Rattus norvegicus: one gene and its partners. The protein of the gene in region 2 interacts with the protein of the main gene of each other region in a pairwise test. Links are inferred from orthologs where the notes say so. Each region holds a gene or a part of one and is shown on either strand. Other genes may lie near its edges. The genes, in order: Bfsp2, Mbip, Plekhf2, Ndel1 and Txlnb.

Region 1 (6,180 bases), on a different chromosome or scaffold from region 2:
CAGAGTTTAGCTGGCAGAGTCACTGCCTCACAGCCTGCCCTGACAAACTAGATTCTAGAAATCTAGATAATGGCTCAATCTAGGTGTGGTATTATAAGTCCATAATCTTAACACTTGGGAGGCTGAGACAGGAGGATTGCTGCAAGTTTGAGGCTAGCCTGGGTTACAAAGTAATTGCCACTGTAGCCAGGACCCTGTATCAACAACTAAACAACACACACACACACACACACACACACACACACACACACACACACACACACGTGTACACATTAAACAAGAAAAGGAAATAAACAATGGCATTTCTTTCCCTCGGAAAATACAGTTAGGCATTTGTAGATTTTAAAACAGCTCAGAGTTCTGTCCTGCCCCTCTAGCCTCCTTCCAGAGACAGTACGATCAGTCTCCGTGCTGACCCTCTTGCCCTTCTCACCCGGTGGGTGAGATTAGTTCTCTGTGTGGTTGTAACACCAGCCCCACAGCTTCCACAGCAAGAGAACTGGGCCCTAAAGGGCACCCCCAGGCTGCTAGCAGTTTCCCCAAACAGATGAAATTCCAGAGTATAGGCCGGCTTTCCCAGGAAGAGAAAACAGGTCCAGGACAAGCCCATTGAGAACCCTGATCCTCTGGCCTTTCAGCGATTTTGATTTCTGTTTGTCTTCTCCCTGTGGAGATCCCGGTATCCTTTCCCACATAAAGTTCTAGTGCTCCACGTCCCCATCCCTAGCCTGGGCAGTTTCTCCCTCCCCCTGCCTGGCTCAGCTCCCTCCTTGTGCACTGACATTCACTACACAGGATGCTCCTCTGCTGGTTTATCTGCAGCTGTGCAACAGGAGGTCTCTCCGTGCAAGCTCGTGTCTGAGGACAAAAGGATCTGATGCAGCATCGAACAGAGCCAGTTATTGGCATCGTCCACGTGATAGGAAGTCAGGAGCACAGTGCAGGGAAACACAGGGCCACCTCCTGCTGGACCAGGAGCCGGCAGGGTCCTCTTTGATCTCAGAGGCCACCACCTGGGTATTTCTCCACTTCTTTTCACTGCTGAGGGAGAAAGGGCCTAAGTGGTTTTAAGGCTGAGGAATCCAGGAGAACGGGGAGGAGGAAGGGGAAGCGTCTGTTCTAGTAGTTCACTGGTAAATGCTTTAGAGGAAAATGGCTGTCATTCTGGATTTGACCACTAGGGGCAGAAGCTGACGTTGTGATGGCTGTTCTTCATGGCTGTTCTGTTGAAATGTTTTTATAGCTCTCAAGTCTACAGGTTATAGAGCTGTTGGATTATGTAGACATTATTAAATCCGGGTCATAGATGAGAAACTGAGGCTCACACATTGCAGAAGCTTCTGTGTCCGGTCCCGATATCCGCACGTTCGGCTTCTGGAGCCACTTTCGATATCTGCTTACTGGACTTTGTATCTGAACTCTCTAACCTCGACATTGAGATGCCTGGTGCCTCCTGGTACATGTATGTGCATGGCATCTGAGTATCATGTTGTCCAGCAGATGCTGCTGAGATGAAATATATGGCATGTTCTAGGGGTTAGTGTGCCACACATATTTGAATTCAAGATAGCCGTGGGGACTCCCAGAGGAGTGGCTGCCTCTTGTACAGGCTGTAAAGCCCTGAATGTTTGAGGCTCTCCCTCACAACTCAGAGGAGTGTGGACAGAACAGCTGCACTGGCCAGAAGGACAGTATTGTATTCCCTTCTCTATGGGCTGCTGAGAACAGTGAAGGAGAAGCATCACGGGCTGAAATGGGGGCCTCCATGTGTGCCTCTGTTGGTATCACCCAACCACACGTAGGCCACTCGTTGACCTCCTCTCAGTCTACATATCTGACTCCAGGGAGCAAATGGGACTTGGCTACTTCTGGAATAGAGACTGATTTAGTTCACAGTCATCCCAAGGCCAACATTCAGGGAAGAAGGCAGAGCCAGCTACCCCCGGAGCTGAGATGGACAATGCCTGGGGGGTGGGGTGTGTGTTCTAGTCTTAGAACCAGAGCTTGCAGGCGCAATTGGTAGATGAGCTTAGAGTTCTATGGAAATTATTTCAGGGAACAAAAAAGCAACTCTGACCAGGTGACAGGGAAAGGAGGCTGCCACACCCCTGCCCAGCAAGATGACTGTCGGCTGTAGGTGGTGATCTGAAGGAACAAAATCCGGGTAGAACAAAGTGTCAAGTGCTCAGTCTCAAAGGCCACATTCCAAGGACTCTGTTGCCATGGATGGTGTGATGTAGCAATTTTTTGAATGGAAGGGGAGGGAGGAGGGTGGATCCTAAGATCCAGGAAGTTTGAGGAAACTTAGAAGGCTTAGAGCCTTGTAAGAGTCACGCCCTCCCCCATTATATATGCAATAAACCCTTGTGGGGAGGGGAGGCTCTTCTTTAGCGCTACCTGCAAATTGGGCAGGGAGCTCTTGGGGTATAGCTTTCATGAGTCTTGCCCGTGCGCTTTTCAGGGGTGCAGTCTCCTTTGATACAATCATACTCAACTTTGGTAAGTAACCCCGATAAACTCATTGGTACTAAGCTAGACTTGGGTAAAATATTTGATTGTTGGTAGTGCCCTGCCTGGGGCAAAATGCATTTGTCCATGTCTGCCCAGGAGAAGCCACATAACCGATGGCCAAGACTGTAAGACATTTCCATCCTCCATAAGGGTCTATCTGAGTCAGAACTGTTGTGCTCGTATTTCTGTATTGATTTCATACTGAAATAATCTTTTTCCTTATTGAGTCAAACAAAATATTAACACCAAATTCACTTGTTTATACACACACACACACACACACACACACACACACACACACACACACCATAGGTAATAGGAAATTGAAAATTACTTGTATGGTCCATATTCCCACTGATCCCATATACTCATTTTATCTGGATATAGGAGACCCCCCATTTATTTAGTCACCATTTAAAATAGCACATCCATCCAATGGTATTGGGTTCTGTGAAGGCTTGAAAACCCTTTGCACTAACGGTGACGGAGGCAGTCCCAGATAATAGGACAAGTGCAACTTTGAGGAAGGGAAATCCAGGGTCACATAATCTGCTGCATCTCCATTATAGTGGTTCTCAACCTTCCTAATGCTGGGACCGTTTAATACAGTAATTCCTCATGTTGTGGTGGCCCCCAGCCATAAAATTATTTTGTTGCTACTTCACAACTGTGATCTTGCTACCGTTATGAACCAGAACAGAAACATCTGATATGCAGGATATCTGCATGTGACCCCTAAAGGGGCTGTGACCCACAGGTTGAGAATCGCTGCTCTATTTGCTTATGGCCTGGGACCTTGTACACAACTTGGGTTTCTCATCTGAAAAGTATACACAGTGAGAGATTGGTTGCAGAACGTTGTTGGGGTGTTTTTGGTGTGCGTCGGGTGTACATTATGCCTGGGTGGTCCTGGCTCCTGGTCAGCCTCAGTGAATGGCAACTCACCAGTATTAATCTTAGACCACCAGCAGCTTTGGTATGCAAGTGGTCCGCTTCCCTGGCCTCTGATTCTGCGCCATCTTCACTACCTTCACCATCCTCTCTCAGACCTCTAGTAAACCTCCAGGCACAGCTGGAGGACTTACCTGCTGGTAGCTGCTGGCCCAGGAGGCACGGAGGGCATCCCAGCCTCCGGAGCGCTTGGCCTTGCTCTCCAAGTGAGCCCGTAGTTGTGTCTCCAGCTCCTGGCTGACTTGTTCCAGAGCGTGCACCTTGGTCATATACTCCACTAGGCAGCCCCCCAGGTCCTCAGCAGTGGCGTGATTCCTTTCTGGGCCTGGAGCAGGTGCAGTGGCAAGGCCTGAGCTCCGCAGGCCCTGCAGGAAGACACTGCTGATGCCCAGGGCCCGGCGGGTCACTCGGGCACCGAGGCCACCTATGCCACCACTGGGTGCTACTCCTACATAGACCCCAGGGGCACGGACGAGGCTACCTACAGCACTGGTCCTGGATGCTGGGGGGCTATCCAGGGAGGAAGGAGATCGTGTTCCCCTAAGGGATGACACCCTGTGCCTTTGCAGGGGCATGCTGGCGTTGGATCCTGAGGGCAAGTCCATTGCTACTCTCCTCTCGCTCATTCTCACTGCCTCTGTGGTGCATGGCAGGTTCACACGGTCCAGTGGCTTTTGGTTGCCGCCCCAGCATCCCCATGGCCTGGTCACGGGCCTCTCTGGAAGCTCCCCTGTCCCCGAGCTCTTTGTCTACTGCCTTCCACGAGTTTCTGGCATTCATTGAGCTGGAAGAGAAGCGCCCTACCAGCCTGTGAGAGGCACACAGGCATTCTCTGTTGCTGGGTCATGTGCCCAGACATCCAGACTTTTCTGGGGTTGGGGGTAGAGCAGTGCTGCCTGTGGGAATGGGTCATCTAGGTTTGCCTATTTCTTTTTAGATAGTGTCTCTATCGTAGGTGGGCCTCAAAATCCTTATGTAGCCAGGAAGACTTTAAACTTTTGATCCTTCTGCCTCCAATTCCTGTGACAGAATCGGGCCTCATGCATACTCTCTGAACCTCAGTCTTTGGCCTTGATGAGTATGTTACTACCACAGAGAGGTCAGGTGGGCAACAAGCTGTCCCTATTTCACTGGTGAGGAATCGGGCTACAGAACCTTAGAAGACAAGCGTTCTGATCTCCAGATCTCACACTACAAGCTGAGACTCCATGCAAGAGCCCCAGGGCGGTTTACAGGACTGGCCTTATCCCTTCATGTACGAATGTGTGCATGAGCCAGCCCAGCCACGGAGGAAGGCAGCCCCAGAGGCCCAAGGAAAACGAAGCAAGCCTGCTCATGCTTTCTCCCTTCGGGTCTGGCAGCTGTTCCAGGCCCCTTTCAGCTCCGTTCTTCCCTCCCCGCCATGTCTGCCCTCTGACACTGTGCTTGTCAGCTGCTGGCTGTTGGCCTTGTTTCTCGTCCTCTCGACCTTGTTGTACATGCTGCTCGATTGCTAACTCTGACACAGCAGACGCTCAGGAGTGAGTTTAGGACCTGAGCTGCTTGCTGGGCAGCTGTTGGCTCTGGTTTCCCTTTCACCTCTGTCTCACCCTTTAATAAGACCAAGAAGGGAAAACAACAAAGGGGTTTCCTATCCAAGTTAGGGTTTCCTCAGCACCCAAGGATTTTTATCTTATTTTTATGTACATTGGTGATTTAACCGCATGCATATATGTGCGAGGGTGTCAGATCCCCTGGAACGGGAGTGACAGAGTTGTGAGCAGGCATCCCAGGTTTTACTCCTTATCTTTGGCATCCTCCAAGTCACACTGTCAATGGTTAGATGCCAGTCACTTCTCGGGGGTAGAATGGTCCCTCCAGCCTGAGCAGGACATGGTCCTAAAAAGCCATGTGCCAGGTGAGGTTTTAGTGTATTGAAACCATACACCCTAGGTCCAGAGATGGACCGTGGACTCCTTGGTCCTGTAATGGGAGGGTTGATGAGGGTTGACCCCAGGCAAGAGACAGGGACAGAAATCAATTTCTGGTAGGTACCAATTGAGTATCTGGTAGATACTCAATTCTGAGCACAATTCCATTCTCTGATTTTTTTTTCAATTAAACTTTAGAATTGGGAAAATATAGCACCGACATGCACTGCTGTTCGGGGTACATCATGTGCAATTTCAGAAGTGTTAGCTCATAGATGCAATATTTCTCTTTGTGATAAGAGATCCCGGGGTCCTTGTCCAGAATGTAGAGAGCTGAGGTCTCTTTAATCCAGGGGTGTATAAGGCTGTTTCTAGCAGCTACCACTCACCAGGGTCACATGGGCTGCTCATCTGCTAGAACTTTGTGTTTTATTCCCTAGTCTTCATGAAAATTGCAACCTCTCTCCTCCTTCTGTTTAGTAGGATGTAAGACAATGTAAGAGGGACCTTGTTACTTTTGTCTTGTGTGGAGGTCATAGATTAGCTTTACAGCCATCCTCAAAGGCTATCTACCTTCTTGTCTGAGACAGGGTCTCTTGTTGGTCTGGGACTCACCAATTAGGATAGACTTGCAGGCCAGTGAACCCCAGGGATCTGGTTCTGCCTACCTGGTGCCTACCCAGTGCTAGAAGCCTGTGTCACCACACCCAGATTTTGTACCTGGGTTCTGGGGATCAAACTTGGATCTTCATGACTGTAAGGTACTTATACTGAGGCACCTCCCTACCTCTTGGGAGACACAAGATTA
Region 2 (5,655 bases):
CAAATGCAAAATATACTAATACTAACCTTTTTCTTCTCTCTCATTGGCCCAAATTACAAAGCTAAAGATTTTCTGTTAGTTTAAAGTAATGTGTTTCTACTGAACATACATAATTGAATAGACATTGTTAATAGTATATTAATAGAAAATCTTGAATTCCTAGTTACTGTCCCAAGAGTTATGGGGTAAAAATTCATAGACTCCACATGTTACTAGGGAATTTGCTGAATGTTTTGGATATATTTGGGGGTCATTTTTAAGTTAATTTGTTACATTATTGTTTGGTTTCCATAAAAGACCAAGTATCTTGAGTTGCCTTTGAAAGCTTCTATAATCCTTCCAAATTGACATGAAAATATGATCTAAATATTAAGATTTCTTTCCTATAATTATTTTCTCTAGAGAAGGTGATACTTTGCTTTGCTTTAAGACTTGCCTGTTTATTCCCCAAACATAAATTTGCCTTGGTCAACTATAGATCCCCTGACTGTAAATGCATGCTGATGGAGTACCTTTATACACAATAATAAATTCAGTTATCTTATTAATTAACCTTACTGTCAAATCTTAATTTAGTATAAGTTTGTCTTTGTCAGTATAGCCTGTGTAAAATTTTGTATTTCTTTATGTTTGCCAAATGTAGACTCAGATGCCTCTGGTCTCAGGCAGTAGGTCTCTATCCATTACTTATACAGTAGAGTGCTTAACAGAGGAACCTGAGATCTCTTTGGTTCCATGGACAGCGATTCATGTCTTGGTTTTTTATTCTTACAGCTCATTAAATTATATTTGAGCTCATGAAACATCTTTACTTTGTGGAAAATATGACTAAATTTTAATAAATTATTCTTACAAAATAAGTATAATTAACTTGCTTCCACTTGGATTGTGTCCAGAAAAGTTTATAGAGATTCCCTCATATTCAGTCAAATTATTACAGGTGGAAGCTTCTCCCTCTAAAATTTGACAGATTTTGATATTAATTTTATATTCAGTTCTTGGTAGTTTTCTAGATATACATTTGCCCTAATAAATCACTAGTTGATGAGAAATTTTCATGGTATGAGATATATCTTTCTAGAAAATCCTTAGGAAACATTGGGCATCCACTTTTGGCTTTGTTAACACTGCTGTGGGAAAGTACTTGTTTTTTTAACCTCAATAATTTCATAACTGATAATTAGATTTTTATTTGTAATTACTGTCATCTATCCCTATGTGTGAATAATCTTTAGTTTTAAATTTTTAATTGGTTAAATTTGAAAACAATAAGAGTGATTGAGAAGACATCAGGGTAATGACTTATTTTAGGCATGTGTTTGTGTGATACGTAACAAAGAGAATACTTTCTGGAAGGCAGTAGTTGATCTCCGTCTGTTGAATGCCTAGGATTCTGATTAGGGCAGACCTATTTTTGGATACCTTCCAAAGGTATTTAAGATATCAAAGTATCAAAAGAGGCTATGGCTTCTCAAAGATGGCCCTATTATACAGACGTAGAAACCAAATTAAAATAATAAGACATGTTTTTATCTTTTTTATTTTCAAAGCTGTGCCTTTTAGCTTTTTAAAATAGCAACTACAGAAAGCATTTTATTATGTCATTGAAACTTAGTAACTTGAGCAAAATAGGCATGCATTACTCTATAGAAATCTTATTTTTGTGATAATCCCAGATATATAGCTTAATCGTGTAATTTTTGTGATGTTGCTACTTTGCCTCTTTGAAGCTTAACCTCAGAGATGATGTGGTGAAAATTACAATCGATTGGAACAGGCTCCAGAGCCTCTCAACATCCCAGCCTGCACTGCTCCTTACTGCACTTGAACAACACGTTTTGTATTTACAGGTAAATTTCATATTAGAATGTTTACTGGATATTCAAAATAGAAATTAACTGTAGTTTAATTAGCTGGAGTATTTTTCAGTTCTACCTCAACATTCTGTTAACAATAACTGTTATTAGTAAAAGGTTGCAGAAATCCATATTGAGTCTAGGTCTGTTAATTTCACTAGTGATTGGGATAGTTATGAGAATATAGCCCAACAGACCGATGTGGGTTTGAGAGTGAATAAATGCAATTCTATTCAATTCTGGGCTTTGCTGAAAATTCAATACAGTTCATCTATGGTGGGTTATAATTAAGCAATAAGACGCGGCAGGTGTGAGTCATGCTATGATAATGATTCCATGCCTTGGGTGAGTTGGGAGGCTCATGGAGTGCTTTCAGTGGTTCAAGAAGTGGCATTATCCCAGCATGACACATCCTGGAGTGTCTATTGCAATTAAACAGTTTCAGCGTAGTTTTTAAAAAGAAAGTAATTTCTGTGACATTAATGTTTCATCTTAGTGAGTAGCCAGTCACTATTTCATCTTAATAATTTGAAATAATTTATCCTTTATTGGAAGTCAATATTGAATTATTTATCATGGTATTGTTACACTTTTAATATTTCAGCTTGAGAAACGAACAGTATTATAGCCTTGCTGCTGTTGTTGAACATCTCTGCAAGTGTAATTGATGTGAGTTAGAGCTTTTCTCTCATCAGGACAAGCAGAACTGTTTTTCCTGGTCACTTTACTGTGTCGAAGATGTTAGAAGATTTCAAAAGAGTACTTGGCATAGCAAACAATAGAAACAAAATTGTATGAAAAGATGATCAGGATATTGTTTAGAAATAATGTGTTAATTTTCAGCCCTGAATTCATTGACTTTCTGGGAACATTTAACTGTGTTTCATGATAAAAATAACAGTTAACAATTTGTCTAAAGGGCAGGTGATGAGCTATAGAACTCAAATGTGGACCATGTCAGGGTGGGGATGACGAGGAACAGTGGAAGTGAATTTCTATTATGAAGACATATTTTCCTTAAACCTACTGTAGTTGGAGTGATTTGTTTCCAGCTCTTTCTTCCTTTCTTTCTTCCTTTCTTTCCTTCCTTCTTCACTTCATGTGCATTTGCTCTTGTGAAGTTTCATTTCCTGACCCAATAAGATCCTTGCTATGTCAGAGAAGGCTGAGTGTTCACTCAGGGTAACACCTGGTATACTTCATATCCGTGCCCTCATTCATCGTGGCCCACTGTACTTTGAAGTGGAGAATCTCAGCGATGCAGTGATAATGCAGGGCTTTGCTGAGTGAGCACTGCTCTCCTGCTAAGGACGGAGAACACTCAAGCTAGTGTTCTGAATGACATGTTAATTAAGAGGCATCCAGGCCAGAGACTGAGGCTTTGATTTAGCACAAAATAAAAGATGAATGACAGAATGATTTCCTCAAAGAAAAATTTAAATGTCCTCAGGTTTTCTTTCTTGTCTTCTTTTTAAAAAATAATGTACAGCAAGCGATAAGGGCTATACAGTAGTAGAAAATAGCAAACCTGTGTGTGGTCAGACCTGCGGCGTGTCCTGTGTGCCACCAGCTTTTCATATTTAATAACTGGTAATACTCATTTATGTAGCAGCAGCTTATACAAACCTATCACTAGTTGAGATGAGTTTGAACCTGAGCAGATGTCACTGTGTTCTTTTCAGCCTTTTTTAGCAAAACTTCAGTCTTTAATTAAAGAGAATTCAACAGCTGCAGAACTAAGACAAACAGAAGCAGAGACCAAGAGTGAACTAAGAGCCAAACTTCCCACTGGGGACCTACAAGATGAAGGAAAGCTCAAAGACGATGATTTAGGGGATGTGAAAAAGACACAAATCCATTTTGATCCAGAAGTAGTTCAAATAAAGGCTGGAAAAGCGGAAGTAAGTTTGGGCTGGTACAAGGATCAGGGTAATATTACTTTTAAAAGTTCTGTTATGTTTAGATTGTTAAATTATTTGTTGTTTATAGATTGACAGACGAATATCTGCATTTATTGAGAGAAAACAAGCTGAAATCAATGAAAACAACGTCAGGGAATTTTGCAATGTTATTGATTGTAATCAAGGTAACTAGAAGTTTTTTTAAATAGAATTTTAAACATTTTGACAACTGATGTAATATTTTGTTTTAAAAATGCATAACAAAAACAAGATTCAGTCTTACAGGTTTTTAGTTGGTAATTAAGGCAGTAGAATTTTCCTTTATTTAGTGACGGGCCCTGTTGCCAAGCTGATTTTCATTTTGGTTACACAAAACATCAAGTGAAGGCCGAACTCTAGAGACAGATATTTACCACAAGTCCGAGAAGATCAAAGTTTCTTTAGAGAATGAAGGTGAAATGTTGGATGACAGAGTTGTTTAGATTTGCTGTTAGGAGAAGACAAAGGATTATGAACTTGAGGTCTGTAAATGTACCTGTGAAATTATGTTAATTCAGTGAGCCTAGTAGCAGTAATAGCATTCCTCAGGAGGGAGCAGTTTTCTCTTTACTCCTGAGTTTCATGATGCACCCAGCTTGTCACGAAGACCTGTGGAGCCCTAGGCCTTTCCCTTTTTCACATCGCATACCTTTGCTGTTTCTCCTCAGTCTCCTTGTCCTCTTCACTTGATGCTACAGTGTTTCCAGGTCTGCAGTATACCTACAGAATACCATATACTGTGTAGATTGCCATAGATCATAATCAGTTATCCTTGTAAAAAATTATGGAGAAAGGTTTGTAATTGGGCTGAACGTCTTATTGCCATTAATATCTCTTAGTGATTATAAACATAAAATTGCCCATTGAACCTGGAAGTGACTCAGAATCACATTGATATGTGATGCTCTTAACATAATAATGTGGGCTCACTGCAGATGCTAAGTTAAACTCTTCTACTGTTAACTTGTGTGGATCTCTAGACTTAGCTCTTTATAGCAGGTGTAGCAGTGGCAGAATCTCAGGTGTGGCAATCCAGTTGTACGCACTTCAAGAAAAGAGTTTGCTGAGGGAGCAAGGACATGTGTCACTAATGTTACTCCTCTCTTCCTTCTGCTAACTCCATTATTATAAACCACCAGGGGATAGACGTTGACAAGAACTGAAATGCTCAGCAGGATTCCTTAGCCCATTCAGTCCCTTGCTGGCTCAAAACAGTGCTGCCTGAGTTGCTGTGGAGAGGGACTGGCACTCATGCATTCCCTGTCCCCACACTGCCACATTGCTCTCTGATGGCTCTGTGCATTTGGAATAGAGCCCTGGAATGGATGATAGCTTTTTAAAAAAATCCTTAGACCAATGAAAGAATAGAAAGAGTAAAGACGTCTAGACCCGTTGAAGATATTTTGAGGTGTTTCCAAGGAAAAGAAAATGAGTGTTTAATCTTTAAATATAAAAGATCAAGTAGGTTTGCAATTTTATTTATAGTTCAATTTATCACAGATCCGTTAAAACTTAAACTTAAGAAATATATTTTTGTGTTTAAATACATGTATTGGTGTTTTTTTATAAGACCTTTAAGTTGGTGTAAGAAAAAAATTGATTTTAAAAAAATCAAATTTTGTGAAATAACAAAGGACTTAAATTCATTTTACATCCTTTTTTTTTACAAAGTAATATGAGAATTTAACAAAAAATTTACAGCCAATGTATAGCTTTACTGTTACTTCAAGCATTAATCTGTATTTCTATGTTACTATATTATATAATGTGTTCATGTATAACAATTATGCTAATATTTAATAGTATAGATTATATTAACATATGTCTAATTTTTTATAAATTATTTGTTGATACATAAT
Region 3 (5,088 bases), on a different chromosome or scaffold from region 2:
CTGGCAGCAGTTGGGAGAGCATTGGGGGAATCCAGGTGAGGACATTAGGGCCGAGGCTCCGGAGTTATGGGCGGCTTCTTGGGAAAGCTGGAGTTGTGGGTTTTAAGTGTTCTTTGGATTCTGTTCTCCAGAATCCCGCTGAGGTTCAGTTTCATGGAGCCAGGTTATCTTGTGGAATTAACTTGTTTTTGATTGTCCCGTTGTTTTACTTGTGCAGGGTATAAATGACCCACACTGTGATCTCACTTGAAGTAGAGGCAGGAGGACTGTGTTCTAGGCCTACCGGGGCTGCCCGGGAAGACTCAGCAGGTTTTACGCACAGTTTAGCATGTTAGTGATTATTTTAGAAGGAAAGAAAACAAGATTACTTGCCTTTGGAAAAATCAGTGCCTTGGTAGATGACATTTTGTTAATCCCTTATAGGAATGTATACTTTGCGTGTGCTGATTTCTTTTCTTTTTCCCCTAAAGGTTATTAGCAAAAGATGGTGGATCGCCTGGCGAACAGTGAAGCAAACACCAGACGCATAAGTATTGTGGAGAGCTGTTTCGGGGCAGCCGGTCAGCCCTTGACCATCCCTGGGCGGGTGCTTATTGGAGAAGGAGTATTGACTAAGCTGTGCAGAAAGAAGCCGAAAGCAAGGCAGTTTTTCTTATTTAATGATATTCTTGTATACGGCAATATTGTTATCCAGAAGAAAAAATACAACAAACAACACATTATTCCCTTGGAAAATGTCACCATTGATTCTATCAAAGATGAAGGGGAATTACGGAATGGATGGCTTATTAAGACACCGACTAAGTCGTTTGCAGTTTATGCTGCCACTGCCACGGAGAAGTCAGAGTGGATGAACCACATAAATAAGTGTGTCAGTGATTTACTCTCCAAAAGTGGGAAGACGCCTAGCAACGAGCACGCTGCTGTCTGGGTTCCCGACTCGGAGGCCACCGTGTGCATGCGCTGTCAGAAAGCAAAGTTCACACCAGTGAATCGGCGGCACCATTGCCGCAAATGTGGCTTTGTTGTTTGTGGTCCCTGCTCTGAAAAGAGATTTCTCCTTCCCAGCCAGTCTTCTAAGCCTGTGCGGATTTGTGACTTCTGCTATGACCTGCTTTCCACGGGGGACATGGCCGCGTGTCAGCCGACTAGATCAGACTCTTACAGTCAGTCGTTGAAGTCTCCTTTAAATGACGCATCTGATGACGACGATGACGATGATAGCAGTGACTGAGGACATGCTGTGAAGTATTTAATTGACTGTCTGAGAATCAGCTTTGGGGGAAGTGTAAAACTCCTGGCTCCCTCAGTTTTGCTCTCGCCAGGACTGCCCGAGAAGGTCTTACTTACTCTCTGTGCCTGTATCCTGTAGAAAGCATCCGATAGGGGCTTGGCTTTCTACTCCTTATTTCTAGATGATTTTCTTGTAAGTTGGAAAGATGTTTATTTAACAGATCTTGTATCACATTTCCCCCTGATTTGGAAAAACTAAAAGCACAGAATGGTGGGAACCTCGACATCTGTGGCTTTTCCCCAAGCATTCTATGTAATGGTTAAGACACCAGTGACACAACATGGGTTGGAAATTCCTCATTACTTCTCTTTTCTCAATACCGAGTGGTGCCTTACTGTGGCAGCATTGTCACTGAAATCAACGTACACCCTACCTTCTTACTTCTTTGATGCATTTAAACACACTGGTGCTCTTACAGGTGGAAAATGAATGTTTGATCAATGTAGGTGAGAATATTTATTTGACAGCTACCAGGAACTAAATTTTGAGGTATCTCCTTATATAAATACATATTTTTCATAAAATAGTTGCAATTATATTTTTATGTCTTTTAGGCACCAAATGATAATGGTCACTTGTATGCTTAAAGCTAGCCAGATGCCACTCTTTGGAATTTGATTTGAAATTCATCACTAGTTAGAAGTGGCGTATTCCACTGGCTTTCACTTTCCTAAGATATTTTTACATAGAACTATTTGCTTTACATTATTTCCTAAAGGAAAAATCTGAGGAAACCCCTATTTTTCCCACACAGGGTTTCTCTGTGTAGCTTTGCTTGTCCTGGAACTCGATGTTGACCAGGCTGGCCTTGAATTCTCAGAAATCATCTGCCTTTGCCTCCCCAGGCACCACTACCACCTGGCAAAAATGAAAAGTTTTTAGAAAATTCTCACAGTAGAACATGGAATCATACAGATCTGGAAGAGATCAGAGTTTGACTAGATTTCCTGTCTGCAAGCATTGTCAATTTTTTTGTGTGAAATTATCTTGATTTACAGGTGGTGTTGTATTTTACAGAGTTTATGAAGCCCCAAACAATTTTTATTTTTGTAAAACAATTGTATGTTTAATCTGTTTCTGAAATCATTTCACGGTATATGGAGATAGAGTAGCAGTTGATATTTCTAGATTGCAGCATCGATGAGGTTGCTTTGAGAACTGGTAGTTGCTCTCTTTATGTTTGGAGACGGCTGTTGGGCTGTGGGCCTGCTCTCTGCACAGCGCTCTCTGCACAGCACTGGCCATGCTGTGCACATTCTGGCCATTGGCGTGCTGCAGTAACTAGGTTTTCAAATGTGGGAAACCAGCAGGCAGAAAGGTTTTTGTTTTTGTTTTTGTTTTGTTTTTTCCAGAGTTCTTTTCAAACTCCACCCCCTTTTCAAAATTTAAAACATAATTCTGCAGATGCCCTGGAGTTTGATTCAGTACCGTGTGAATGGAAGAGTCATTGTTACTTCGCCGTGTGGTTACAGTACTAATCTTACTTTTCTGTTCAGATCTGAAAGTGTGTGGCTGTATGGGTCTGTCTCCCTGCAGGAAATGAGGAAAGCACAGTAGAGCATGGCCTGGGGGCTCCGTTCCTGCTTTTTGTCTTGGTTGGTTTTACTGTCAAATGGAATTTTGTTTCAGAGCAGCACATATGTGTAGTCAGTAAGCGTGTTTGAAAGGACCATAAAAATCAGAGAAATGCTGGTGGAAACTTGCAAATTCAGGAACCAAGGGGAAATGTCCTGAGATAACATTTGCATTGTTGACCTTTGTTGATTGTTTTTACAGTAAAAATATTTTGCAGCTTGTTTCCTGTGTTTTTATACTGTAACTAGAAGATGTTCTTCCTTTTCTCACTGAGATATTATGCGTAGTCCCACCTTCTTATTATTAGCTGTGGATGCCCAGCATGTAGGCACTGATGGGGAGTTGGGGTTTTTGATGATAGGGTCTCATTTAGACCAATCTGGCCTCAAATTCACTATGTACCAATAAAGTACGAAGCTGAGAATTCCCTTGAGCTGATCCTCCTGCCTCCGTGTCCTGAGTACTAGATTAGCAGGCTGGGCTGACACCTTGTTTACTGAGCACTGGGTCTGGAAGTGAGGTCTTCTAGGTAAGCACCCCACCAGCTGAGCCACACTCCAGCCCTGTCCTCTCCAGGACAGGCTAATGCGGGATTGGCAGAATCGCTTCCCAGATCTTTTTTTTTTTCTTTTTTTGATTTGGAAACCCCTATTTATTGATCCTCAAACCCAATTCAAAGCTATGCACAAGGTGTCCAGGCCTTTGACCTCGAGGCCACGGCTGCACTTGCCGAAGGCTTGCCTGCCTCTCCGCTCCATTCTGCTTGCTAAGACGCTTTCGACCTCCAAAGACTGCACGGGTGATCGTCATCAGATACGGGGAAACCAGGAAAAACCAAAGTTTCTCCGTAGGCGGAGGTGAGCCCCACAGCCAGTCCAATGCCAGATCCCGGTAACAGGGTTTTCTCTCTTACCGTTGGGTAGGATCCTAGGAGCCTTATTGCTCCATGAAATGACCATTCCTGTAACACTTGTGAGCAGCCACAATGTGGTAAAAATGGCCGGTTGGTGCAGCCACCCAAAGCAAGGTGTATGCTTAGGTGGCCTCTCCTAGATGCAGGCTCTGCAGACCGGGGTGTGTCGGTGAGCCGGCTGCTCTAGGCTGCCCCCTCTTGGTAACTCCTAACATCTTAGTTTCCGGAAGGTAGAACGACCAGGGAGATTGGGTGGCTCGCACTGCCCCCTTTGCTATCCAGTTTTATTAAGTAATCCACATTAAAATGGTAGTTGAAAAGCTTTGGTGATACAAGTTTATTGGGGGAAAAAAAAGAATTTACCACTTTACCAGGCGTTTGTGCGTGTGCCTGTGAGTTTGTTTGGAGAAAATATAATTGTGTGCCTTTGTTAACTTACCAATTTTATTTGAAACATTCTCCATTTTACCTACCTGCAATTAATCTGTTTTGAGATGTTCGGTTCAATGAGTCATAGTCATTAAAGCTGTCAACTATGTGACACTTTATCATGCCCTGCCCCTGAGGCACTCCATGATTACTGCTCGATCCCCTGGCCTTAGGCAACCACGGTCTGTCTGTTTTTGCCCTTTTGGGGGTTGAAGGGAACCCATTTAGTTTACTAATGATCTCATGGTTCATTTGTATAGCGTTAATGAACACTTAACATTCTTATTACCAAATAACTTTTTCAGTTACATGTGTGTGTGCGTGAGTGTGCACACACTCCTTCCACTCTCTTGGGTCAGGGTGTGTGTGTGTGTGCGCGCGCGTCTGGCTTGCTTGTGAGAGCCATTTGTATGTAAGTGTAAGGCTTGGAGAGAGTATTGTCACGTCTGGAGCTGGAGTTAACAGGCAATTGTAAGTTACCAGATAAGGACAATTGTCCCCGATTATCTGGAACCCAAGCAAGCAAGCACTCTTAGCTGCTCCCATCACCTTAGCCCTTCCTCCCTTCCCTTGTTTTCTAATTTACATTCCTACCCAGCATGCCAGAGTTCCCTTCCCCAGCACGTGCTGCTACTCATCTTGATAATAGCCATGTGAGCTCATCGTGGGTTTGTTCCCCAGTGATTAGTGACAACTGACCATCTTTTAAAAAAATAGACGTGTTAATGTGTTGGATGCCTTAAGAGAAATCTCTGTAGTTAAGTCCGTTCTAGTGACTGGGCAGAAAAGGCAAACTCAGTGCAGTTCTTAGTGAGACTGGCTTTGCTTCTGGCATGTTCTAGAAGATGGATGGTGTCTGTCTTCCGAGCCTACCCAC
Region 4 (6,312 bases), on a different chromosome or scaffold from region 2:
AAACTATGCATTTTCTCCAGCTTTTGGTTCTTGAGAATTTTTTCATATTTTTTAGTTTACACACAAAAAAATGTAAAATGTTACACATATTAAAAGAGTACCATGGGGTTGGGGATTTAGCTCAGTGGTAGAGCACTTGCCTAGCAAGCGCAAGGCCCTGGGTTCGGTCCCCAGCTCCGAAAAATAGAAAAGAAAAGAATAAAAAAAAGAGTACCATGTAATGTTCAATATATAAATACACTACACACTACTTAAGTAGGGTTAAATATATTTACCTCCTCCACTGATTATCAATTCTCTCTAGTGAAAACTTTCAAAATCCTTCTAGCTCTTTACAATATACAATCTAGACTAACTACCTAAAGCTATATACTCCTTTATAGTATTTTGTGTGCATCTGTGTATATGTTCATGAAGAAGAATAGATGTATGTGTGTAGTGTGTGCAGATTGGCATGATGTGTGCACTTGTATGTGGAAGCCAGGGAACAAGCTCAGGTGTAATCCCAGCACTGAACAGACAGGGGTAAAAGGACCCAGAGAGCAGGGGGAGCAACATGAACGTCAGGCCAGGCTTGCTTACATAGCCAGTTCTTTCAGTTCTCTGTCAGCCAGAAGCTATACACACACACACACACACACACACACACACACACACACACACACACACAGAGAGAGAGAGAGAGAGAGAGGAGTAAGTCACAGGAGGCTAAGGATGTGACTCAGCTGGTAAAGTACTTGCCTAGCATAGCATGCATGAAGCCCTGAGTTCAATCCCCAGCACTGCACAAACCAGTGGTGCAGCACATCTGTAGTCCCAGCCTTCAGTAGGTAGAAAGAACAGGACCAAGGTCATCCTTGACTACATGGCAGGTTGGAGGCTCAGTTTAGGCTACACAAGACTTTTTCAAAAAAGAAAAAAGATTTAAAAAAAAAATTCATGGGAATAGAGATGGTTCTGAGGTTAAGAGCACCCACATCAGGCAGGCTCACAACCATCTAGACAGCTCCAGCTCCAGGGATTCAGGTGCCTCCTGTCTCTGTGGACATTGAAGGACTGAAAGGGTGGTTCAGTGGTTCAGCACTCTTGCAGAAGACTAGATTATGGTCCCCTGCACCACACAGGGAACTCCCTCTCCACCTCTAGCTCTTCTTATGACCTCTACAGCCACCCACATACATGTGAGCACACACTCACACACAGAAATAAGTTTTTAAAAGAAAATGAATCAAGCCAGAAAATTCAGCATGCAAAGTGCTTAAAAGCCCAGACCCTAGAGTCAAACTATGCCCTTGCTGGGAGACCTAGGGCAAGCTATTCAACTTCTCAGTGCCTCATTTTCTCACCTATAAAACAGGAAAATTAGTTGTGTTTTGAAGATGAAGTGAATTACTATTGGCACAGCATTCGTAACAGAGCCTGATGCATAAACACAGCATAAATGTTAATTCAATTGTAAGAATCTAGTATGCCAGAGTGGGCCTTTAAAGTTAGAGAGCAGACTTCCAAATTTAAAAACACGTGATTCCTCAAATCGTTCCATTACAAAAGGCTCTCACATCTCTCCTGGAATAAGCTTTGTGAGCTAGACTAGAACAAGCAGGAGTTCTTACCCTTCCGTCACACCTACCTGGCAGTACCCAGCTTTACCCCACTACACCTATTCATCAACTTTATCCTTCTAAAAGCCAGGTTTAAATAACGAATGTGCTATCGTTGCATGATCTCAAAGCTGTCTGCGACTGTGAAGACTGTGTGTGGAGTTTGCCTCCAGGTACACTGAGAGATTGTATTCACTATCACCTGAGATTACGTAAGTGGGGAAAGTTAGCCAATGTCAAATTTTTCACTGCTTTTAAAAAGTGCTCAAATGGCACATCTACAATCTTCTGAAGCTGCAATACAGGCAGACAAGTATGGGGTATGAGTCTAAAATTACAACTTCTGCACCAGACATTATCACACTCTATATGACCTTTAGATGTGAACTGGCAATTAGCTCACTTAAACTTTAGACAGTTATCATCTAACATACCTTACTGGCAAAGACACTCTGTACAGCACTAAGAAAATTAATTTTACATGATAGGCTATTAACATATGCAGAATGAAATAGGTCTTATCATTTTTCTCCCTTATGAAGTGCCTAGAAAGTAATTTTAACTTAAGTCATCAATCCTTGAGTTTATTTTACCATGCTTTAAAATCCAAATGAAAATAAATTTTGTTGGTCTCATGAAAGCATATTCAGGTCTATTTTTTCTGTATCCAACTTCAATTTATCTCACTCAAAGCAAAGGCACTGCAGATTTAGCAACTTCTAAGATTAAGTCTGTTTCTAACTGGGGCTAAAGGTTTTCTTTGTTCTTTATGCATTTCTACTCTAAATAAAGATGTTAACAATCCAGAAGAGATACCCCTACTGGGTGCCCTTTGGCCTCCTTTGACTGACTCCTCAGCTTAATGCTGGGCTTTGCCCTTCACCTTTCTGATTTGGCAGACACTAACCCTATCTCTTAAACGCAGTGAAAACAACACAATTTTCAGACTAACAAACAACCACTCATGAGCAAGCTTCAGGGTAAGATTTTTCTAATAACTGAGCTGATTTCTGGTCCATTTACTGGTAAATAGATAAGTAATCTAGTAACTTCGGGTATTATCTTTTGACAAGTACAATGCTCAGTCCTCTTTCTGGCTGAAGAAGGTATAAAAATTTCATGAAAACTGAAACCAGAACCCTAAGCTGAGAAAGGTAAATTGTGATCCAAGCTAAACTTCTCACCAGTTAGTGGAACTCAAGTTAAAAAAAAAAAATCACAATTGCCCCCACCCCCTTGTACCTAGGCTCAATTTCCCCACACTCCAAACAGTGACTTACAGTATCCGTTACAAGTGCAAACAACAAATGTTCTAAAATGTTTATAAACGCTACAGGAATAAACCCTAAATAATGAAAAGAACCCTCACTCGCCTTAAAGGGTTAGTCACCTCATCGTTTCCCAGAGAAAAAGGAGAACCCAAGCAACCGGAGTTGGTTGGTGATACTTTCCCCAACTCCAAAGCAGATGATTAGCAGTCCGGGGCAGACAGTCACGAGACTACCAGTCTCTGCCAACGCGTGCTGCTCCCGCTCTCCCCTCCCGCATATGGGGCGCTGGGAAATCAAGATCCAACCCTGCTCCTAACCACCCGGGCAGCTCCGGGGAATTCAGGGTGGGTGGAGCAAGACGCTGGGCGCGCCGCTGCCACCCCAACTGGGCCACTCCTCGAGCCGTCAGTCCCGGTTGCCACGTCCCGGCCTCCGTCCCTCCTCTGGAAGCCCCGCACTCGCTCTCCTGCAGGTGCCCCCAGTGGGCCACACCTCCGACAGTAAGGAAGGGGCAGTTAGAGCGGTTGGAACAGTTGTTTCCGTACCGGCCGCCCCAGAACCCAAGCCCGGCCTGGCCCACCGGGCCCTGAGCCACAGCCCCGCGGTCAGGCAGGCTCCCCAGGGGCAGGCCTCGGCGCTGCCCACTCGGCTCGACCCCAGAGGCTGCCTCACACGGGAGCTCACCGCCAATGTGTCAAAAGCGCATGTTCGCCGCCGCTCGGCCGACGTCTCTGCTCCGCTGGCCTGGCCAGGCCCGCCCAGCCTCTCAGCTCTGCTCCCTTCCGCAGCCCTGAGCTCCACTCCGCGTACCTCCGCGCTGGGCTCCTCCCCGACACGTCAGGGGCTCCCTGGGTGTCGGAAGCCATTCTGTGACGCACGGGGGTGGAGTCGAGAGCATGCGCAGAAGCAGGCGGGGGGGAGGAGCCATGGGAGGCAAGCGTCACAGGGAGCCGACCCAGGCCCTGCGCGCTGACGTCAGGCCTGCGACAACGTCCTGCGCAGGCGCCGCCCGGGGCACCCTAAGGGTGGGTTTTTAGCCCTCTGGGGTTTCCGGAAGCTGTGCTGTTGGCGAGAGTAGTTCCCTACGCTAAGAGGAAGGCAAGTATGAAGGCGTAAGGGAACTCAAGAAGGAGACAGGAAATATGCGCAACTGTCCTGGGAGTAGAAACGTAAATGAAGAAAAGGCATTTGGGGAACAATTTTAGGGATTTTTGCTGTCTCATGCTAAGTGTAATTCTAATTTCAGTGCTGTTGGGCTTGGTTTTGAGGTTTGAAAACAAAACAACATAGCATAAAACACGCTAAGCCTAAAAAAGGTGAGCTGAAGAAGCCCACGTATACTTTTAGGAAAGGTAAATATAAACAAAAACAGTGTAAGGTGGATTTTTTAAGGAGAACCTAAATTGATGAGCAGAGGAAGATTGGTAGGGTCTAAATCACCTTGAACTACACAATGAAGGAGTTAGGGTTTTAAAAAATGATTATGAGTTCACTGTGCGGTTTGTTGTGCCCAGGGTTGTACCAGTCACTGGTCTGCATTGCTTCATCACAGTAACCCCAGGTTACTCTCAATTACAAATAAGAAACGGCAAGATGAAGTTTCCCAAGGTCACTCAACTACAGCGCGAATTCAAATTCAGAAGCTATACTATTATTATCCACTACTACGATGACAAGAAGGGAAACATAGGCTAGACCATGGGGCTAAAGTGCTTTCAATACGCTACCATTAACCCTCAACATTTGAGGCTGGAATCATTAGATCTATATTGTAAAGTAAGACTCAAAAGAGGTCTACTTTCCAGGCCAGAGGCCTCGAACAGCTTTGAAACTCAGTCTGCCTTCCCTACTTGGAGCTGTGCTCAGTCTAATCAGATTTCAGGCAAGGAAGTGATTAATGAAGGCTTTCCTATAGACCCAGTGCCAAGACAGAACAGTCCCACCCAAATAGGAAAAGATAAAGGCTGCAGCTTCTGTCCTGCCTCCTGGCTGAGGTGCTAAGAAACACACTGAGTCACCTAATGGCTGGCCAGGCCCTTCAGAAAACATTGACATCATCTCCCAGGCTGCTGCCCCTCCCATTTGCTCTGGCCTAGGACTGGCATCATTCCCTTCTTAATGAATGGGCTTAGTTTGGCAGAGCCCTCAGAACCCAAAGGCCCTGCTTTGATCTTCATCATTGGCCCAGGGGCTAGAATAAGGTACGAGTCAGCAAACTGCCCCACCTCCTTCCATTATGCCAAATCCATACGGAATAAATCAGTAAAGAAGATGACAGTCTCAAAAGGAAGCACAAGTTATAAAACCAGCTTGGTAAGGTGAGGACTGCCATATGCTTCCAACCTGATGTAGCATTCCAGAGTACTTTCCATAGGTTCCAGTACTTTTTGGACTGTTCAATGTACCAGAAAGTTCAATGTAACAGTCTCTGAGAACACGTGTAAGCACCCACAACATCTTCCCTGCTACAAAATACAAGAAACAGATCAAGTTCTATCCTTCCAATGGTTAATGTGTGATCAGCTACCAAAAGAGAGATCTGGGTCCAAACTCCAGCTAGTGAAAATGCTGGACTTTGGCCCATCTCATACCCAAAAAAGGTAATTGTTTTAGTTAAGGTTCTACTGCTGCAATGAAACACCAAAAAGCAAGTTGTTGGGGGAAGGGTTTATTCAGCTTACACTTCAATATCACTGTTCAACACCAAAGGAAAGTCAGGACAGGAACTCAAAACAGGGCGGGAACCTGGACTAGAAGGTGATGCAAAGGCCATGTGGGCTTGGGGACTGGAAGGGGAGTAGTGCTTACTGGCTTGCTTCCCATGGTTTGCTCAGCATGCTTTCTTACAGAATCCAGGACCACCAACCCAGGGATGGAACCAGCCATAATGGGCTGGGCCCTCCCCCTTCAATCACTAATTAAAAGTTCTTTACAGCTGGATCTAACGAAACATTTTTCTCAGTTGAGGTTCCCTCCTTTCAGAAAACTCCAGTTAATGTGTCAAGTTGACATAAGACTAGCCAGCACATATGCAGTACATATAAACCTGCTACAGAAACTCTGAGGAGATGGAACATATTTACCTTATGGATCAGGTAAACAAGACACCACAAAAATCAAAGGCTCACTGGGTGTGTTGGTGCATGCCTGTGATCCTGGAAAGTTCCAGGCCAGCCTACAGCTCTACATAAGAGCACCTGGACTTAAACGACATGCGCGCACACACACACACACACACACACACACACACACACACACAGAGAGAGAGAGAGAGAGGGAGAGAGAGAGAGGAGAGAGAATACTAAATTCAGTCTAACTTTTTTTTTTTTTTTTGGTTCTTTTTTTCGGAACTGGGGACCGAACCCAGGGCCTTGTGCTTCCTAGGCAAGCGCTCTACCACTGAGCTAAATCCCCAACCCCTCAGTCTAACTTTTTATACT
Region 5 (5,655 bases), on a different chromosome or scaffold from region 2:
GAACCCACATTTAGTGACATCACTTTGTTTTTCTGATATTTTGATTATCAGACTAATAGAATTTTAATTACTATTGCCTGTGCTTTGGGAAATAAACCTGATAAGGTTTCTTTCCACTTCCATAGAAACAAAACCCTCTCAAATCCTAACCCACATGAATCTTCTGTTTCTCAAAATTTGGGGGTATAGGCAACGTCTTCTGTGAAATAAGTAAGATGATGTAGGACTTGGCATTATGTACTCTAGGAAATATGTCTTCTTGATAGAACTGCTATATGCTAATCCCAGCAGCCATCTGATGCGTGTTGATGACTCATGAACATGTCTTGGGAATTGGTTGCAACTTGGAATGAATAGTTAAAGTGGTAATTCTAACCACAGAAACTCCCCACATACCGATTCACGATGTTGGCTGCTTGAACTGTTCAGTTCTTCTCTCTGGTAATAGCAGTCGATGTGAGTGAACAGGGACCTGATCCTAATCACCCCACTACTGATTGCCACCCTAGCTACCCTGTATCTTTAAGACCCTTTTTACTCATTAACAGGAAGGGATCTTCCCTTGTAGGGTCAGCCACCTAAGTCAGAGCCTATAAACCTTCACCTTTGGAGTTGCAAAACCTGTATAGGTCCTGGCGTAACACCAGCTGTCTAATACCTGTTGGAGGAGTTTTTAAAAAGATTTCTTCATATCTGTCTGTAAAATAGCCTATGTCCGCTGGTGTCCTCTCTTAGCACAGTCAAGTCAATGCATTCAGTGTATTTGCTGGATGTCAAACAGTAGACGTTTGAGATCAAGTAAGAATGTCATCAAAGCCTTTATAGTCCAGAAGGCATAGCACCCCTCTGGGGTCAGCTTTCTACCTTATAATCCCGTGACTAAGGTTCTCAAAGATCTTTCATTCTTCCTTAGATTTCTAAATAACTCTTGATCTTATTCTTTCTACTACATTTTAATACATCATGTCACCCTTGAAATTCAGCATATTTTCAGACATAATCACTTACACCGTTGGGTTATATTGATTATTTCACCAGGGTCAGGGAAGGAAGAGCTTCCTCACCTCTTCGATCATGTCCAGCAGGGCTTTGTTACAATTCTCAAATCGGGCTTTCCATGTGGCCGTGTCCTTCTCCAGCTTCTTCATTTTCTTTGTCGTCTACAGAAATTAGAGTGTTTCAGTGTTTAACCCTGAAGAGCTGACGTATCAAGGAAGCAATTAGTTCCACATATGACACCCAGCACAATCCTTTTGCTACCAGCTGCTGAAGCAAACAAATGTACAACATCAACAATGAAGATTGTGGAAGAGGAATGATTTATTTCCTGGATTGGCAACGAACAAACCGGTTTGCACCGGAGCCAATTCAGGACGGAAGAAACTACTTAGGAGAACACTGTGTTGTTGCTGACTTTTCTTTCACTTAAAATAAATAAAAAAATATTCCTTACTGAGATCCATAAACAAGCTTGTAATTTAGATAATTTACTTGTTCAAATAGAAGGCCCTGGTGGTGAGAGAGCTGAGATTGCTTTGGGGCATTTCGCTGCAGGTAATAATTGGTGTGCACACAGAAGCTGCTTGCCACCTTCTCTTTATTCATGTTTATAGGGTGAAGGTGAGCTCACAGGAGCTGATGGTTACACATTCATGTCATCTCTGAGACAGCCCCATGAGAAACACTCCGTTTTCATCCCCATTTTATAAATGAGGAAACTGAGGGTCAAGGATGTGTATTAATGTCTAAGTGGATTAACAAAAGTCAGGCTAGCGATACCTCGTTTTCTACCAAAAATGGTGCCTCTTTGTCACCAGACTATGAATGTGGGTTACATTCTTACTCTGTTTTATTTATTGTAGGATCTCTTCTCTGATTGTGTGAGTTGAAGGGTAAGGCTCTTAATCAGGTATGTCCTTTCATGAGCCACACCTAGGTGCTTGCTTCTTTTTTATTTATTTATTTATTTGGTTCTTTTTTTTTGGAGCTGGGGACCTTCTTTTTTATTTTTATTTCAGGTATCTTGAGACAAGGTTTTCTTCTGTAACCCTGGCCAGACTGAACTTTCTATGTAGAGCCCGCTGTCTTGGAACTCACAGAGGTCTGCTTCCCTCTGCTTCCTGAGTGCTGGGATTAAAGGTGTGTGCCTTCATGCCTGGCTATGTGCTTGTTTCTTGAGCAAAGCTGTTTGAGGTACACACTGAGGCCAGAGGCTGAGCCCAGACTATCATTTTTTGCTCTAAAAGGAGCTAGATGGATTTTTTTTTGTTTGGATCACATGTTAACTAGATCAGGCATTTGTAAAGTTTAAGAAGTTAAGTTTAATAATTTGATACAAAAGTACAACAATGTCAAGCAACCAGAGCTTCCAGGGACTAAGCCACTACCTAAAGACTATACATGGACTGACCCTGGACTCTGACCCCATAGGTAGCAATGAATATCCTAGTAAGAGCACCAGTGGAAGGGGAAGCCCTGGGTCCTGCTAAGTCTGAACCCCCAGTGAACTAGACTATGGGGGGAGGGCGGCAATGGGGGGAGGGTTGGGAGGGGAACACCCATAAGGAAGGGGAGGGGGAGGGGGATGTTTGCCCGGAAACGGGGAAAGGGAATAACACTTGAAATGTATATAAGAAATACTCAAGTTAATAAAAAAAAAAAAAATCACAGACAAAAAAAAAAAAATTGATACAAGATAGAGGACCATATTCAGGGTTACACAAACATGCATCCCAGTTTTTTGTTGTTGTATATTAGCCACGGAATTCTTGGGCTAACTAATATCCATAAATAAATTCCAGATGAAGAGCACTTGATTTAATATCCCTTGATTTAAAATTTTGAAATAAAATTTTAAAAATTAACTCTTCAGAACCAAGAAAACTAACTTAACAAATATTAGTGTAAAAGTTTCATTATCTCACTAAAATATATTTTGAAAGGTGCTCCCTACACTTATAATTAATGCCAGTGCTTGTTCAGAAACACAATGTGTGTATGTGTATGTGTATGTCTGTGTGTGTTTATGTCTGTGTGTGTGTATGTGTGTATTGTGTGCATGTGTGTGTATGTGTGTGTATGTGTGTGTATGTGTGTATGTATGTGTGTGTATGTGTGTATATGTGTGTATGTGTGTGTATGTGTGTGTGTGTATTTACATGTGTGTATGTAGATGTGCCTGTGGACATGCCTATGTTGTGCTGTACTTGTAGAAGTCAGCAGACAACATTTAGGGATCAATTATCTTTGTGCACCTTGTTTTGAGGCAGGGTGTCTTTTGGCCCATCAAGGTACTTCCTATGCTAGGCCAACTGGTCCTGGAGCTTCTGGACTATTCTACCGCTTCTGGTTTCCCTGTGCTAGAGGGGTTCTAAGAGCATGGATGTCTCTCATCCCCATACAGCTTCTCACATGGTTCCAGGGATCTAACTGGGTCATCAGGGTCACTACAGCAAGTTCTTTCACCCTCTGCCCACAGAGGCAGAGTGTTGACACTGATTTTCTATTAGGAAGATACTGCACTGAATGAAATGCCAATGCTATGTCCATTGACATTATTTGTACCTTTTAATTATGAAAGACTTGCAAAAACTTTCGATGTGTTAGTTTATTTATGGTTTTGTGAGTTATGAAAAAAAATCAGTTTATAGATAAACAAAATAAAACTCAAGAGAAGTACATAAATGGCCCAAGGGTCCTTGATGAATAGTTATAAATGCAGAATTTGAGCTTACTTTTCCGTCTTCTTATGCAGGGCTTCATCAATTGTAATGCACAAGAGTCTATCAACTCTAATGTTGTATCTTTAGGTTTAATTTTTTTTAACCATACGAGGGTTAGGTGTTTGCACTTAATGCTAGCTTTTATAAAAGTTTGCTAACAAGAAGAAAAATGTTAGTCGTCTTAGTGAAAAATGTATCCTAGTATTTAGGGACCATTGATCAGATTTGTTTACTGGAATTTTTTTAAAAAGACAAAATTCCACTGAAAGCCTCACTCCTGCCTATACAAATTGCATTGCATCATGAAATGCACTGGAGTATCTTAGCCAGAGAGAAAGGAATGCAAAGACCTGCCTGTCAAAACAAAGATGGCCACTCTTCGTGGAGAGGCCATACTCACATTATCCATTTCCTGCTTGAAAGTGGCAAACACTTCATTACTTTTTGTCAGTGTACTCTGGAACTCCTCAAACCTTCCCGAGTAGAGAGTAAGCTGTAAAGAAAAAAAAGAGTATATCTTTGGGGCTGCTCTCAGATTGCTTCCAGAAAAAAAACAAAACAAAACAAAAACCCAACAAGTCGCTGTTCATTATTTGAGAAGAAAAATGAATTAAAGTTATTGCTGGTACAGGAATATGTTTAGTTATTTTATATACTACAAGGTCAACCTAGGTTGGTGAACATAATTAAAATTCTTCATTAAAACATCGTGTCTGTCTGTCTTTAAATGCCTTCTCCTATAGCTCTCCACCTTACCATTTGAAAGGTGTCTCGGTGAACCTAAAACTTGACATTTCAGCTGTACTGACTGGCCAGTAAGGTCCAGGGATCTCCCTGTCTCTGTCTAGCTCTTTGTGCTGTATTTATAGGCATGTGTCACCACACCTGTCCTTTACCTGGGTGCTAAGGATTCAGACTCAGGTCCTTAGGCTTTTGTGACAAGCACTATACTCATCAACCATCTTTGTACCCACAACATGCTTGTTTTCTTCCTTCTTTCCTTCGTCTCCTTTTTTTGAGAACTGCATATATATATATATGTATATATATATATATATATATATATATATAGTGTTCTGATCAAATCCGCTATCATTCCCTCCCCTCCAGTTTCTCCCTTATTTCTCTCAGCAGTTCTTCTCTGTCAACTTCTTTTTTTTTTTTTGTGAGCAGCCATGTGGATGCTGGGAACTGAACTCGGGTCCTCTACGAGAGCAACAAGTGCTCTAACCACTGAACCATCTCTCTCCACACACACCCCCACCCCTGTCAACTTCTTGTCTCCTATCTTTTCTTAAAAACGTATCAAGTCCACTTAGTGTCGCCTAAAATGTTTTTAAAGAACAATAAAATTATAGAATATAAGTTACAGCTTTATTATATCATAACTTTCACAAATATTTATTGGTCACTGAACATAAGTAAGTACCACTTATAGAAAGGTATTTATTTAACGTGTGAGTCCTGCTTTTGAGGGACTCGTACGCCTAATGGGAAGACAAACGCAATGACAACTTGACTATGGGGTAATCAATACAAATTACTAAGTCACTTGCCTTGGATTTTCTCTGTGGTCCACGTTTACAACCTAAGCTAATGAATAGCTATAATCTTAAATTATGCCTCTGACCCAAGAGCAATGCAGGAATCTTTGTGCATGTGTTACGATACACATTTGCTAAAATCAGCAGATAGAGCTCAAAAGCAATCTTATAAGTAAATGTCTCCCATAAATATTGGAAGGGGCATTTGAATATTGCTTGATAGTATGTGTTAGTTTGTTATCTGACTCTGTTGGGGTCAGTTGGAGTCAGTGACTTAATCCCCTGTAAGACTCTGTTAAAGATTCCCTTAAAGTATCTGTTCCTTTCCCATGTGATGCTCTCTGTGCTGCTCGATAAAAGACGAAAACAAGTCCTTTGTTAGGGACAGA

What was found.
Region 1: the proteins of Mbip (region 2) and Bfsp2 interact in binary tests that used the Homo sapiens proteins (3 or more experiments, as listed by UniProt). The two-hybrid records come from large-scale screens. The link is inferred for Rattus norvegicus from reciprocal best matches to the Homo sapiens genes MBIP and BFSP2.
Region 3: the proteins of Mbip (region 2) and Plekhf2 interact in binary tests that used the Homo sapiens proteins (3 or more experiments, as listed by UniProt). The two-hybrid records come from large-scale screens. The link is inferred for Rattus norvegicus from reciprocal best matches to the Homo sapiens genes MBIP and PLEKHF2.
Region 4: the proteins of Mbip (region 2) and Ndel1 interact in binary tests that used the Homo sapiens proteins (3 or more experiments, as listed by UniProt). The two-hybrid records come from large-scale screens. The link is inferred for Rattus norvegicus from reciprocal best matches to the Homo sapiens genes MBIP and NDEL1.
Region 5: the proteins of Mbip (region 2) and Txlnb interact in binary tests that used the Homo sapiens proteins (3 or more experiments, as listed by UniProt). The two-hybrid records come from large-scale screens. The link is inferred for Rattus norvegicus from reciprocal best matches to the Homo sapiens genes MBIP and TXLNB.

Annotation. Positions count from the first base shown.
Region 1 is NC_086026.1:112,938,094-112,944,273, forward strand, and holds the start of Bfsp2 (phakinin), read right to left. Parts: upstream 4,154-6,180; 5' UTR 4,089-4,153; coding exon 3,597-4,088; intron 1-3,596.
Region 2 is NC_086024.1:79,553,041-79,558,695, reverse strand, and holds part of Mbip (MAP3K12-binding inhibitory protein 1), read left to right. Parts: intron 1-1,730; coding exon 1,731-1,850; intron 1,851-3,538; coding exon 3,539-3,757; intron 3,758-3,845; coding exon 3,846-3,942; intron 3,943-5,655. UniProt on the Homo sapiens protein: Inhibits the MAP3K12 activity to induce the activation of the JNK/SAPK pathway. Component of the ATAC complex, a complex with histone acetyltransferase activity on histones H3 and H4.
Region 3 is NC_086023.1:28,886,360-28,891,447, reverse strand, and holds the end of Plekhf2 (pleckstrin homology domain-containing family F member 2), read left to right. Parts: intron 1-470; 5' UTR 471-484; coding exon 485-1,234; 3' UTR 1,235-3,089; downstream 3,090-5,088. UniProt on the Homo sapiens protein: May play a role in early endosome fusion upstream of RAB5, hence regulating receptor trafficking and fluid-phase transport. Enhances cellular sensitivity to TNF-induced apoptosis.
Region 4 is NC_086028.1:54,058,439-54,064,750, forward strand, and holds the start of Ndel1 (nuclear distribution protein nudE-like 1), read right to left. Parts: upstream 3,598-6,312; 5' UTR 3,557-3,597; intron 3,501-3,556; exon of another isoform or gene 2,975-3,500; intron 1-2,974. UniProt on the Homo sapiens protein: Required for organization of the cellular microtubule array and microtubule anchoring at the centrosome. May regulate microtubule organization at least in part by targeting the microtubule severing protein KATNA1 to the centrosome.
Region 5 is NC_086019.1:14,261,433-14,267,087, reverse strand, and holds part of Txlnb (beta-taxilin), read right to left. Parts: exon of another isoform or gene 4,276-5,655; intron 4,216-4,275; coding exon 4,123-4,215; intron 1,161-4,122; coding exon 1,065-1,160; intron 1-1,064. UniProt on the Homo sapiens protein: Promotes motor nerve regeneration. May be involved in intracellular vesicle traffic.